Linked DNA regions of Daphnia pulex. The main gene of each other region encodes a partner of the protein of the gene in region 3 in a complex. Links are inferred from orthologs where the notes say so. Each region holds a gene or a part of one and is shown on either strand. Other genes may lie near its edges. The genes, in order: N6-adenosine-methyltransferase non-catalytic subunit-like, RNA-binding protein spenito-like and protein virilizer homolog.

What was found.
Region 1: protein virilizer homolog (region 3) and N6-adenosine-methyltransferase non-catalytic subunit-like share a complex: the UniProt entries of both Drosophila melanogaster proteins name them as parts of the WMM complex. The link is inferred for Daphnia pulex from reciprocal best matches to the Drosophila melanogaster genes vir and Mettl14.
Region 2: protein virilizer homolog (region 3) and RNA-binding protein spenito-like share a complex: the UniProt entries of both Drosophila melanogaster proteins name them as parts of the WMM complex. The link is inferred for Daphnia pulex from reciprocal best matches to the Drosophila melanogaster genes vir and nito.

What each region holds. Positions count from the first base shown.
Region 1 is NC_060026.1:13,578,588-13,582,568, forward strand, and holds N6-adenosine-methyltransferase non-catalytic subunit-like, read right to left. Parts: upstream 2,531-3,981; 5' UTR 2,401-2,530; coding exon 2,367-2,400; intron 2,308-2,366; coding exon 2,198-2,307; intron 2,130-2,197; coding exon 1,840-2,129; intron 1,780-1,839; coding exon 1,563-1,779; intron 1,503-1,562; exon of another isoform or gene 1,499-1,502; coding exon 1,289-1,498; exon of another isoform or gene 1,229-1,288; coding exon 1,056-1,228; exon of another isoform or gene 996-1,055; coding exon 749-995; 3' UTR 686-748; downstream 1-685. Other genes in the region: ABC transporter G family member 20-like, read left to right, coding at 1-35, 107-414; DNA topoisomerase 2-like, read left to right, coding at 3,587-3,610, 3,749-3,981. UniProt on the Drosophila melanogaster protein: Non-catalytic component of the WMM complex, a complex that mediates N6-methyladenosine (m6A) methylation of mRNAs, a modification that plays a role in the efficiency of mRNA splicing and is required for sex determination.
Region 2 is NC_060023.1:11,551,287-11,555,645, reverse strand, and holds RNA-binding protein spenito-like, read right to left. Parts: upstream 3,135-4,359; 5' UTR 2,993-3,134; exon of another isoform or gene 2,908-2,992; 5' UTR 2,859-2,907; coding exon 557-2,858; intron 491-556; coding exon 477-490; 3' UTR 78-476; downstream 1-77. Other genes in the region: mitochondrial inner membrane protease ATP23 homolog, read left to right, coding at 3,488-3,674, 3,747-3,792, 3,861-3,942, 4,014-4,199, 4,259-4,359. UniProt on the Drosophila melanogaster protein: RNA-binding protein that acts as an associated component of the WMM complex, a complex that mediates N6-methyladenosine (m6A) methylation of mRNAs. M6a modification plays a role in the efficiency of mRNA splicing and is required for sex determination.
Region 3 is NC_060020.1:7,386,232-7,390,777, forward strand, and holds the start of protein virilizer homolog, read right to left. Parts: upstream 2,944-4,546; 5' UTR 2,860-2,943; coding exon 2,770-2,859; intron 2,697-2,769; coding exon 2,584-2,696; intron 2,520-2,583; coding exon 2,384-2,519; intron 2,326-2,383; coding exon 1-2,325. Other genes in the region: dolichol-phosphate mannosyltransferase subunit 1-like, read left to right, coding at 3,146-3,246, 3,314-3,413, 3,476-3,586, 3,651-4,061. UniProt on the Drosophila melanogaster protein: Associated component of the WMM complex, a complex that mediates N6-methyladenosine (m6A) methylation of mRNAs, a modification that plays a role in the efficiency of mRNA splicing and is required for sex determination.

The DNA.
Region 1 (3,981 bases), on a different chromosome or scaffold from region 3:
TACCCTCCTCCAAGGATTCATTGGAATATGCTTTGGTATACAACGAAAAAGTTGATTCTTTTAAAAAATTTAAATGATTGTATACATTTTGTCTAAATCTCAATAGGTATGTTTACCGCTGCCATCTGCGATAACACTAACGGAGCACTTTACCTGACGCAAGCCAATTTTCTCCCGATTTTACTGATGGGAGGCATTTGTTGGCCGGTAGAAGGGATGCCTCCGGCATTACAAAAGGTTGCCCGTTTCCTACCGGTCACGTATGGCATCGAGTGTTTGAGAAGTATTCTTTCCCGCGGTTGGGGAATTGAAATGCCTGATGTCTACATGGGATTTTTAGTAAGCTTTGCATGGATATTTGGATTGACGATATTGACGTTGACAGTTATTCGCTACCGCAAATTTTCGAGCTAAAACAGCCGGTCCATCTATAAGTGAATCAAATTTCCAATTCGTAAGTTATTCGTATTAACAAGTATGCCACGGTTCATTTAACCTATTCTGAATTAACAAATAGCTGTCAATTTTTTGTCTAACTCTACCAAACAATATTAATTTTGCCTGATACCAATGGCAATAAAGTTATCAAATTGTTTTGTAATTTAAACAGAATCATCTATTCGCGTCATTTCCTTAAATGCGTTACACAATTTTATCTTAACTTTCGAAGTGTTGCAAAACAGAATTGAAAACTCAAAACGTTTATTTGCAATTTAATGCCTTAGAAATTAATTAAGTAATGCTTATTTCATCTTCCCCTGCCACGCGCTGCGCCCCGAGTAAAACCTCCGCGTCCACCTCCTGCCCCTTTGCTGCCTTTGGGTGGAGGAGATTTAGGGCGAAGAGCTTCAATCCTTTCTGTGCATCCGGTAGTCGTACAGTTACTATTAAAGTAGCCAGCGTATGTTTCTGCGTTGTAGTTGCTGTTTGTTAACGCTGGACCAACCGTCAACCAACCCGGTCGAATAGTACTGTCTCGCCCGAATAAGTGGAGCCTTAAAAATTAATTATTAATTAAAATTCTAATGAAGTGACCGTAAAAATAAATTCCTAACCTCCTTTTGCCAAGACAAAAATGTTCAATGATGTTGAAAATTTCGGACGGTTTCTCCAGAGATCCATACTCGGGTTCTTCCGTAATTATCAAATCGATATCGACATTGGCATGGATGAAATCTCCGTCCGTGGAACGCCTAACTGTTCCTTTGATTCCCATCAGACAATGCTCCTACTCAAAATCAGTACATCAGTAAAAGCATTTGGTTAGACGAAATTGAAATGGTCTTACTTTGGTTCGCTGGAAAACGGCTTTCTGCTCGAGGTTTTTCGAATGACCCGGAGCGTCTGCATTGGTTTTTATCCAGCAAATGTCTTCGCATCGCCGGAATCCCCATCGGCGCAAGCACACACGCCCCAAGTCTAGTCCATCACTGGAACCACACCACAAAAATATGAAACTCCTAGGAGCAGCAACTTCACCTATGTCGAGTTCCATAATCTAAGCGGAAAAAGAACCATTAATTCACAATCATTCATTATATTGTGGTTCAATATATATTTACCTGATCCCATGACAAAAAATCGACGTTGGTCACACCCAAAGAACGCTGGTATTCTTCCAAAGGAGGTTCAATGAGGATCACGTCAAATTTACAACCAATGTCTTTGAGATTAAACGTTTTTAAATCGGATTTCAGATACATGGGAGGCGAAGCTGTCTGGGCGATTAATTCATCTTTCAACCGAATAAGTTCCTTGAGCTTGGGATATTCTTCAAACCTATAAAAATGGTTAATTTAGTAGGTAATTGCTTTAGGGAAGATTTGCCCAATCATTTACCTATCAGCCAAGCCAACATCTCTTATAAAGTTTTGGGGTCTCTGTCCAGTATCAACAAAATGTTGGCAGTAATCATTGTGAGGGTTGGAAGACTGTGTTCCTTTTAGAAAGGTTGACGAATCAGTGTAAAGCAGTTTTGTCTCTTCGTCTTGTTGACTTCCGTCGGCATTAGCATTCTTTTTTATGTATTTCTCTGAAGGTCTAAGTAATTCCATTCCTGGTTCTGCTTTGGAACTATCTGTGCCACTTCCCAATGCCTCTTTCAATTTCTCCACTGACTGCATTCCCAACTGGTTAAAAAAACGTAAGCTAAGATTGAAAATGTGAATTTTTAAACTAAAGCACAATAAATACTCACGGTCTGTACGAGACATTGTTTCCGTTTTCTGGACAATTCTCTTCTCTGTTTTAGAAGGTCCACTTTATCCATATTAAGAGAGTTTTCTTCTTCTGTGACAGTTGTCTCTGCTAAAGGGAGAAGGCAGTGATACAGATTGTATTGATTCAGCCACTTAAATTGATTTCACCTTGTACACTGGAATTATCCACATAATTTGCCATTATAGATATCAAATGCTTAAATACCGACACAGTGCTCAATGTTGACTGTGGAGTACACCTTTAACATATCAAAACATTTAAAAACCCTAACCATTCAATAGTCCGCCATTATTATTTACCTTAGTTGCCGCTTGTAAATCAATGTCTTGTTTCGATATTTGATGAAAAGGGCAAAATATACTTGCAAGCATGAAATATCAAAGCACTTAATTTGAATTCTATCGGTTAAAATAAGATTTAAAATAATATTGATTAATTAATTGAAACCGTCAGCGGCCGAATTAACCATGGCCGAACTCCGGTATTTCAAAACTCAAAAATTTAAAATTTCGAAAGTCATTTGCAAGTTGAAATATATTAAAATTTTAAAAAGTATGCAAACTGAATACATTTGAATATCTGCATGTCACAATATTACAGAAAAAGCAAGCTCCGGCAAAGATGTTTCGGCTCGTTTTCGGCACATCAGCGATCAGCGGGATTCCTCATTGTTGCTGTTTAGTATCTACCAAGGGCAAAATTTACACGCTGTGTTAAAAGTGAGCAGAGAGGTACCGTCAGTGTCTCGAATCTTTGAGAGAAACGCGCCCTTTTCACTCTAAACTGAAGCGAAACAATCAAAGACATTACATTAGAGCTCAACCAGCATGGTTTGAGAGTTTTTCTACACGGAAAAGGATCGAAAAAGCACCTTTTCGTTGTTTTAGATTCTATTTATTCACAAAGTAGTACGGCTTTCTTCACAAATTTACAAAGTTGTTAAAGCACAAGTACTCATCTGAGTCGCAGACAATCTTATTTTTTGGCTTTTTAAAGTCAACAGGAAAAGGTAAGCTTGTTTTGTGTTGTCAAGTGTTAATTTATCAATTAAATCATTGTACCAAAAAAACCAATGTAATGTAACAGTATAACAGTAAGGGGTTTCCCAACCCCTTTAGACATCTCTAACAACCAATGAGAAACAAATAAATTTTTTTGACTTGGCGGTACCGAGTGGCAACGTTGTAGTTTCACTCAACGTTTCCGTTGGTTCGAAAAAAGTCGCTTCGAAATTTCAGTTTCACTCGACGCGTCGACAGTATTTTAAACGGCGTTTTTTTATAGTGGTTGTCATAGTGTATAATTTCCTAGGCAAATAGCCATTCTGTCCCTTTTATCGAATTTTAAGCTTATACTTTCGCCAAGGATGGCTTCTGATGGGCCATTAAAGGTAGTTGTTGAATGAAACTCACATGCTTTCAAGGTTACAACATGAATGTTTTGAAAGAAATTTTGTGATCCAAAACGTGACGTCTTACTATTCTTGATGTGAAGTGTGATCTAACATATTGTTTTTTTTTTTTTTTAGTCTTTGTTTGCAAAAATGAACAAAGGTACTGTTGCATCTGAGGCTGCCACGAATGGAGATGCTGGCAAGAAGAATGGAGCCAACAAGAGACTTTCAGTCGAAAGAATTTACCAGAAGAAAAGTCAGCTTGAGCACATTTTGCTTAGGCCTGATACCTACATTGGATCAGTGGAACCTGTTAAAGATGTCATGTGGGTTTATGAAGAAGATGCTGGAATGATCCAGAGAGAAAT
Region 2 (4,359 bases), on a different chromosome or scaffold from region 3:
ACACTGAGCGAGGAGACACACTTGCCACTCACGCGCGCACCTCAAATCACCGTGATATAAACCCCATTCCCGGCTCCCTTTTCTTCCCCTCGTCTCACTGAATGAACAAACTGGTTAGTTTAGTAGTATTAGGCAAAAACCTAAGCACGACACAAACACACAACACATTCACACACACACACAATCACCGATGCAAACATTGGTCTTATTTAACTGATGCTTCGGGAACCTGAAAAGAAAACGTTAAAGCAAGAAAAAAAGTAAAGAAAGGTCAGGATTGACAGAGCTCATCTAATGGTCAAGAAAATGGTAAAGTTTTATTTTATGGTTTTGTTTGTAGGGATAACAAAACGGCCAAACCCAGATGTCGTTCGTATGCTGGTGAAAAATCTTGGTAGCGGTTGGTAGAAGATTAAAGGTGTGCGCGGGCTTTGTCTGAGAGATGGTAGTAAATCAGTTGTCGATTGATTTGTGTTTTAAGCAGTTCCTCCTGTCAAAATAATACAATTGAAAGATATTAAAATATGAAACGATAGTTAGAAATGATTGAATATACCTTTAACTACAACTATCACCAAGTGATCATCCTTTAGAGTCTCGTCAGACAGAGACGGAGCTGCTCGTCGGAGTAGATCGGCAGCGAATGGGCAAGGAGGGAAGGCGTAAAGGACGCCAGTCACATCTGCATTCTTATTGGCCAGCGAGATGACACCAGCCGCTTCTTTCTGCTTGAGATAAGTCACGAGATTGCGAAGCGGACGATTCTGGACACCTGCAGCCTCGTCGGAAGTGGGACTGGAAGCTCCGCCTGTCGATCCGGGCAGGCCGAGGAAGATGGCGTGAGACGCAGAAGCTGAAACTCGACGGGAAACGTCTTCCAGTTTGGGCGGATCCAACCTCAATCGCTGAGTAATTCGCAAATGAGGCTGGTTCTTCTCGTCGTGAAGCAAAAGATCGGCGATCGCCGCTTCGCCAGATGTCGCGTGTAATTTCGTGGGGAAAAACGAATTCTTGAGTACCAAGGCGCCCGTCCAATTGCTGGGAGAACGTCGAGCCACTTCCGCCAGCGTACGGGATCCAGTGAATCTTCCACCGTCGTCGGTTCGCCTTTCATTCGACGGCGATCGGGAACCTCCTCGGGCAGCGTCAAAATCATCCGGTGGAGGACGTCGGCTGCTGTTTGCCGACCAATCGTCACCATCGGCTCCTGATCCTCGATATCCGCTAGGCCTCTTCTCGTAGCCACTTCGGTTTCCTCGACCCGTCCGACCGGATCCCGCACGATAATTGGGATCATCTCCATTGTTCCAGTTGGTTTCGCCGGCATAATCGTCGCCAGCTCCACTTCTAGCGGTGGCAGCATCGTAGGAAGAAGACGATCCTTTAGTCTTGGCAGTTGGCGGATGAGCTGTCGGGGGATTGGTGTCAACAAAGTCAGTTTTCAGTTTCCGATCCGGGCCGCCCAGACAAAAGCCTCGCATGTCCTGAACGGCTGCTTGAGCTGCCTCAATCGTCTCGTACAAAATGTAAGCCGACGTGTCTCCTTTGTTGTATTCGATCTTCTTAATGGCGCCGAAACGGTCAAATTCACGCTCCAATTGTGCCAGCGACGTCCACGAGCCCAAACCTCCGACCCAGATGCGTGTAGTGGGCGTGGCTTTACCGTAACCGATCTTGACTTGAAATTTGCCAATGTACTGGCCAGAAAGCTCGACTTTACACCGATTGGCCTGGTCCAAATTCTCGAAACGAACAAAGGCGTAAGCGTTGCCAGTGCCTGGAGGCGGTCTCTTGATGTCAACATCCTCGACGATGCCGTAATTGCCAAAGATGCGACGCAGCTCTTCCTCTGTTATGTTGATCTCCAGGTTACCGGCGAAAAGAGTCCGAGTAGCCAATGGATCCTCTTCTGGCGGGATGTGGTGCAAATAATTTGGGAAACGATCTTTCTTGTTCTCGTAGCGGTCGTGATTTCGATCTCCTCTTCCACCGCCTCCTTCTTCATTGCGACCTCCTCCACCTCCACCTCCGCCGCCGCCAGCTCCACCGCCTCCACCACCACCTCCTCGACTACCTCCACCTCGTTCACTTCTTTCATAATGGGGGACAGGTGGATGTCCTCCAGCGCCGTAATAAGAGTGACCACGGTAAGATGACGGTCCACGGGGAGGATAGTCGTACGGTGGTGGACGATAGTCTCTGTACATGCCAGTTGGAGGTGGAGGACCATATCCACGCAGAGAATAATCGTAACGATCGTCGTACATGCGGTGTCGATCATCTGGGGAACGAGGTCGAATGTAACGCTCTTCTTCGCCTCGGTATGGCAACGGTGAATAACTTCGTGAACGCGCCCTGGTGCTTCGCGCGGTAGAGGGTTCGTAAACAGGTTCGAGCACAGCTGGTTTGTCATACAAGATGATTCGCTGCTTGCTGTGCCTGGCTTCACGAGCATCTTCAGGGTTTCTGAATGAAACATAGGCCAAACGGTCTTCTGGTTCAGCACCGTGCACCAACTTGATGCTAACCTCACCATACTTTTTGAACTCTCTGTAGAGCGAGTCTTTGACAACTTCGTCACTGGCTTTGGGATGGATTGAGCTGACAAGGAGAGTCTTGTAACCAGTCGATGGGGGTGGTGGACGAGACCTTGGTGGTGGGTAGTCATCTCGTTCCCTCATCACTGGTGGATCGGGAGGCAGAGGGTATCTTGATCGGTGACTGGGGCTGGGTGAACGCCTACGTCTTGGAGGAGGAGCTCCACCTCTCTCATCATCAGAGCTTTCATCATAATGGCCTAGGCTTGAACGAGAGCGTTTGCTGAAAGGCGATGCATCACGGTCGGACACGCGTTTCATATTGAAGACTTGTCAAACAATCAACGATTCAATGTTAAACAACGTAAACCTAGCAACAAAGATGAATTATCACCAACGACATTTTCACAATCACGTCAATATTTGAGAATGGATGAAAAACTAAACACACTAACCAATAAAGTGGGTCTTGCGAACAGTTATGCAACGAGTATTTCTCACCGAACCAGAGCTTAAAAAGAACGCGTCCGAACAAGTAGAAGAAAATGGCGGAGCTCTATTCTGAGTTTGGACTCGGCTTTGACAATTTTAGCTTCTGGGGGTGGGGTTTCATTCCGTGGCAGCATTGCAAAATGCTACATTTTAGCAATTTATACCTAAGAATTTAATATCGAGAATTTCCAATTAAACTCTTTATTTTAATTGGGAAATATTTTGATTTGTTTTTTAATTTAATATATCAATCAATATTTTAACAAATTCCACACAATGCTGTAAAGCCATTCAGCCGGCAGTCTGTCGTCTGCTGAATAACACGGACAACTAAAAACAGCAAAAATTCAAAACAACCTCATTAAGTACCTGTAAAAGTAAAGACATCGTAAACTTTACTACGATGCATGTATTGTTATTCAGTGTTAATTGCATGTTTCTAGTCTAGGTGTATAATTATGTCGGATAAACCATCGGAAGCTGCACCTGTGGACAAAGAAGACAATTGGGGTTACGACTTGTACCCCGAAAGAAGGGGTGAAGCTGCACGTGCGAAATGGTGGCAGATTGCTTTGTTTGGTGCTGGTCAAACCAATGTAGAAAAAACTACATGTGAAAGGAATGTCTACAATTGCTTTGAAAACAGTAAACATCTCTGAACTTACGTTTTCTTACAAAATTCAGTTGTAAATTAATCCTTCCATTTGATTCATTTAGGTCCTCTTGTTAAGTTAATGTACAGTGCATTAAAATCATCTGGATGGTATGAAATAAAATTAAGGTTTTTTAAATTTCATTTATGCTGCAATATCTTCTCGCATTTTGACATAGTGAAATTGATTTGAGGAGACACATTGCCTGTGAAGTTTGTGATGTCTCGGTTTCTGGTGGCTATGATCCAAAACTTAATCAAGTAAATATTACAGATAATAAATAGTCCTTTTTTCTCAATTAATAATGATAATCTTTTGATTATGTCTATAGATAGTAGTATGCCAGAATGTAGTTCGGAACAAGGGAATAATTCAAGGAATTTTGACACACGAAATGATTCACATGTTTGACGCATGTCGACACCAACTTGATTTTAAAAATATCCACCATTTGGCGTGCACGGAAATCAGAGCAGCTAACCTGACCCATTGTAGTTTCATGTCGGCCATGTTTCAGGTAAAAAAGTGTGTGATCAAAACGTTGAGCAACCTTTTATATGGCTTTTTAATCTACAGGGAGACGCTTCGCCTTTCCGAATCCGTAAACAACACGCCGAATGCGTCAAAATGAAAGCATTGGGCTCAGTGATGGCCGTCCGTCCAGACGTCACGAAAGA
Region 3 (4,546 bases):
TTGACTTTCAATGCTCATTCCTGAAGGGCGACGAATGTCTTTTCGTCTAAAGCCGTTTGGAGGTAAACGGGCCAGGATTTGTCCGATGTTATGAATCCGCTGCAGAGCTTCGTAAGTATGTATCTTTCGGATGAGTGCGGTCACTGTTACTTGAGCTCTGGAGGGTTGAGTCGCTTCTAACAACTGGACGAAATATTCATAGCCGTTTGGGTACTCCAGTACGGGATTCTTCATCCAATGTTCCATGACGTAGGGCCATGAAAGCAGAGCATCAATGCTACGCAGGCACATTAGCTTGAGCGACTGAGCCATGTGGGGGGCACCGTAAAGGCTCGCAATTTTCGTCAAGACGCCACAATCTACTGAGCGTTCTATAAGCGACTGCGAGCACTGGGCCACCGTCTGCGAGAGTTTCAGACCACATTTGATGTGACGGACCGTATGTGTAGATGGACCTGGTTGTTCGCGAGCATGATCGAAATCTAGGCCGTGAAGTAACCAGTCAACCACTTTATCTTGAATTGATTTGAGCAGATCCGGCTGTGAGTGTAAGTAAGCCAAACCATTCGGTAAGATAGAGGCCAACTGATTCATGCTATCGATCCATTTTTCTCCGCGAGATGTTAGCTCCAGCGTCATCTGGAGTCTCAAAGCAGCGTCTTCTAAGTCTTTGCAAGGTATTCGAGGTTCGGAGACATTCTTGCTTACTCGTTGTAATGTGGTGTCTGAAGGATCTGTAAAATTCTGCAGCGGTTGCAGTTCGACACCGTAAGGATTAAATGTCTTTCCGATTTCAAGAAGATCACCGAATTCATTGATATCCAAATCCGTCATGTCGGCATTATAGTCTTCAAACATAAGGTCTTCATCGCTGAGGATTTCTTCTAGTTCTTCCAATTCTTCGGGTTCGACGACGCTGTCAGGGGCTGCTTCAACTAACACTTCAGTTGAATTGACAACCTCATCTTCAACGGGTGGCTCATCTTTCCGAAGAATGGATTCCGGTTCATTAACTTCGTTTATTTCCTCTTCAACTTCATCAGCGCGAGGGGCTAAACTATCCACTTCCGGCATGTCATCGTCTGATATAGCTTCCATTTCGACACCAGGCGAGAAGCATTCTACAGGGGGTTCATCTTTTTTTATGGAAGCAGGTGGCGGCGGAGGGGGTGGTGGAGGTGGTGGAGGTGGAACTTCAACCGGTACAGGTACCGGTACAGGTAGGACAATAGCAATTTCAATTTTCTTGTCTTCTGCAGGAGTCCGAGGCCGCCTCGAGCTTTCACGTGATCCTCGTTCTTTTGCTCTCTCTTTTTCACGATGGCGATCGCGGGATCTTTCTCGCGATCGATCACGTTCACTTCCGCCACTGCTTCGTTCGCGTTCCTTAGATCGCTCTTTACGATCGCTTCTATCACCACGTCTTTCGCGATCTCGGTCGTTTCTACCTCGTTCGTCGGTTCTGGCACGTTCTGAATCGCCTTTCACTCGATCTGGATCACATTTAACTCGGTCGGAATCACTTCTGGTTCTATCAGAGTCGCTCTTTTCGGTTCGTGTCCGTTCTGATTCGATTCTGTTCCTACCGACATCACCTTTGGATCTATCCGATTCACTCTTCGTTCGTTCAGGATCACTTCTAGTTCGATCTGAATCGCTCCTTTCACTTTTAGTTCGGTCGGACTCGTTTCGTTTTCTATCCAATTCTATTCTGGCCTTTTCACGGTCGGAATCTGTTCTACTACGTTCGGATTCAACTTTAAATCTGTCGGAATCTGGGCGTATTCGATCCGAATCATTTTTGGATCGATCAACATCGTGTCGGCTTCGATGATCACTTCGATTGATACGTTCGGAATCTGCTTTGCTGGTTCGATCGGATTCCCATTCTCTTTCACGGAAGTCACTTGTGTCTCGCGTCCGTGTGAACTCATCACTGCGTCTGCTTTTCTCTCGCACCTTCTCGACTACTTTTTCTTCGACCTTCACTTTGGTTTCTTTTTCTGGTTCATCCTCGCGTTTTACTTCAGATTCAACCACTGTTGATGTCACAAAAGCATTTTCACACTTTATTAGTTCTGCTTTTTCTTCGAACGGAGGGGTGGAAGTCCGTAACTTTTCGTCTATAATTTGATTTGTAAACACTGGCGCTAATTCTGGAACCGGTGGCTGGGCTGGTTCAACTGGAACTGGGCTAGCAGGTTTGATAGGGGCTGCTGGGGGTGGTGGAGGTATACTGATTATTGGGGCTCGTGTAATAACCCCATAAACAGCTAGGGTTACAGTGGTATACCAGCCTCTCAAAACTAAGCCATCTGTTGGTACCTGTAAAATATACTTGGGGTTAAAATGGTTTGTTAATTATGCATAGTAGTCAATTTACTTTTTTATCAGAATCGTAATGAATGTTAGAATTCTGATTGTAATCTAGAACACCAAGTGTCTCAAAAGCAGATGCTCCAGGTTTGCTCAAATCATTCACAAATAGTTCAAGCTTAAACTGGGATGGATTCGTTGCTCTGAAAATACATGTTAATATGTAAACATTATCCTTATAATTTATTTTGTTCTGTCGTAACCTACCCTAAACGCACTCCTCCGGGGAAATCAGCTTGCACTTTGGCGCCTAAAGGTATGACTCGCACTTGATTTATGTACACGGGCTTGGGAAACTGTACCAAATCCAAATTCAATTCCTGCAAAATGTCGCCAAGTTTGAGTTGTAGCCAAATTGATTTATGAATAAACATTTTCTGAATTGATTCAAACCTCTGTGGGACCATGTGCGAACGTATCGAAGAAGAGCAATTCCTCATTATCAATTTTTTTATCAATTATCAATTGTTCTAACACAGACATTTTATACTAGCCGAAAAACTTTCATGAGTAAAATTTTTGAGGGATAGAAAAAAGTTTGAGGGTTCGTAAAAGGTTAATAAACAGCAACTGTCATGGTTTTCTGAAAATATAAATACGACTGCCACTAGAGGGATCCCCAACTCAGTAATCCGCTAGATGGGTCTGGGAGAAACAACCTTTAATTTATAACATTCCTTGCTTCTTGCTTACGTCAACAAGTTTGAATCACACAATTACTTCAAGGCGTCCCGTCAATTTCCAAAACAAATTCAGAAGTGTCGATAAAATGGGAGCTGATGACAAATATAGTGTCCTGCTTCCGACTTACAATGAAAAAGACAATCTACCAATTATTGTCTGGCTCTTAGTCAAAGCCTTTACTGACAGGTAAGGTTGACACTTGCTTGCAGTCATAATAAGATTACAGGTCATAACAATGCATTTTATTTGTTAGTGGATACGATTTCGAAATTATTGTAATTGATGATGGAAGTCCTGATGGGACCCTAGATGTAGCAAAGCAGCTTCAAACCATTTATGGAGATAAAAAAATTGTATGGTAGTGTTAGGCTAAGTATTTTTTTTTCTAATTAGCTATAATATTGTCATATCACAGGTCTTGAGGCCACGAGAAAAGAAACTTGGACTTGGAACTGCTTATATTCATGGAATCAAACATGCTACTGGCAATTATGTTGTGATCATGGATGCTGATCTATCTCACCATGTAATCATCTTTATAAACTTAACCTTAGGGGACATTAATTTTAAAACATTTATTTTCTTGGCAGCCTAAATTTATTCACCAATTTATTGAAAAACAAAAAGAAAAGGACTATGACTTGGTTTCTGGAACTCGTTACAGTGGAAATGGTGGAGTTTATGGATGGGACCTGAAAAGGAAAGTGATTAGCAGAGGTGCAAACTATGTTACTCAAGTGCTGTTGAGACCTGGTGCTTCTGACCTCACTGGTAGCTTCCGCTTGTACAAGAAAAAAGTATTAGAAAAACTGGTGCAATCTTGTAAATCAAAGGGGTATGTTTTTCAAATGGAAATGGTTATAAGGGCTAGACAATTGGGATTTACAATTGGTGAAGTACCAATTTCATTTGTTGATCGGGTTTACGGTGAATCAAAATTAGGTGGGAATGAAATTTACCAATTTGCCAAAGGACTTTTGTATTTGTTTGCCACTACTTAACAAAATTCTTCAAACAATAACTTAAAATACACCTTCTAAAAATTGTTATTGAAATATTTTTGTTGTTTCTTGAATGAGCCATGATATCCATGAGATAACACACAGACCATGGTTAACAAATATAACTAATTCATTAGATTCCCTCATTTATAGAAATAACTAATTATTGAAATACATTTGTAAAATTGAGAACTATCATAATTCTAAAACTACTTGAATAGTTTCAAAATATATAAACTGCTATGGTGGTTATTTCACCCAATAAGCTGATTGCAAGTTCGTTTCCTAGCGTGTCTCCTATAAATAAAAGACGCTGTCGCGTCTTATTGTAAGCGCTCCACAACAAGTTAGTGCATTTGGATCTTCAACAATTCAAAAAATGGAAGGAACGAAATATTTCGCTAAAAACGCTATGCCGCTTTTCTCCCCATTCTTCGTGGTAATGACCATTTACCTAATCTCTTCAATCCAGGCTGTTGAAAACG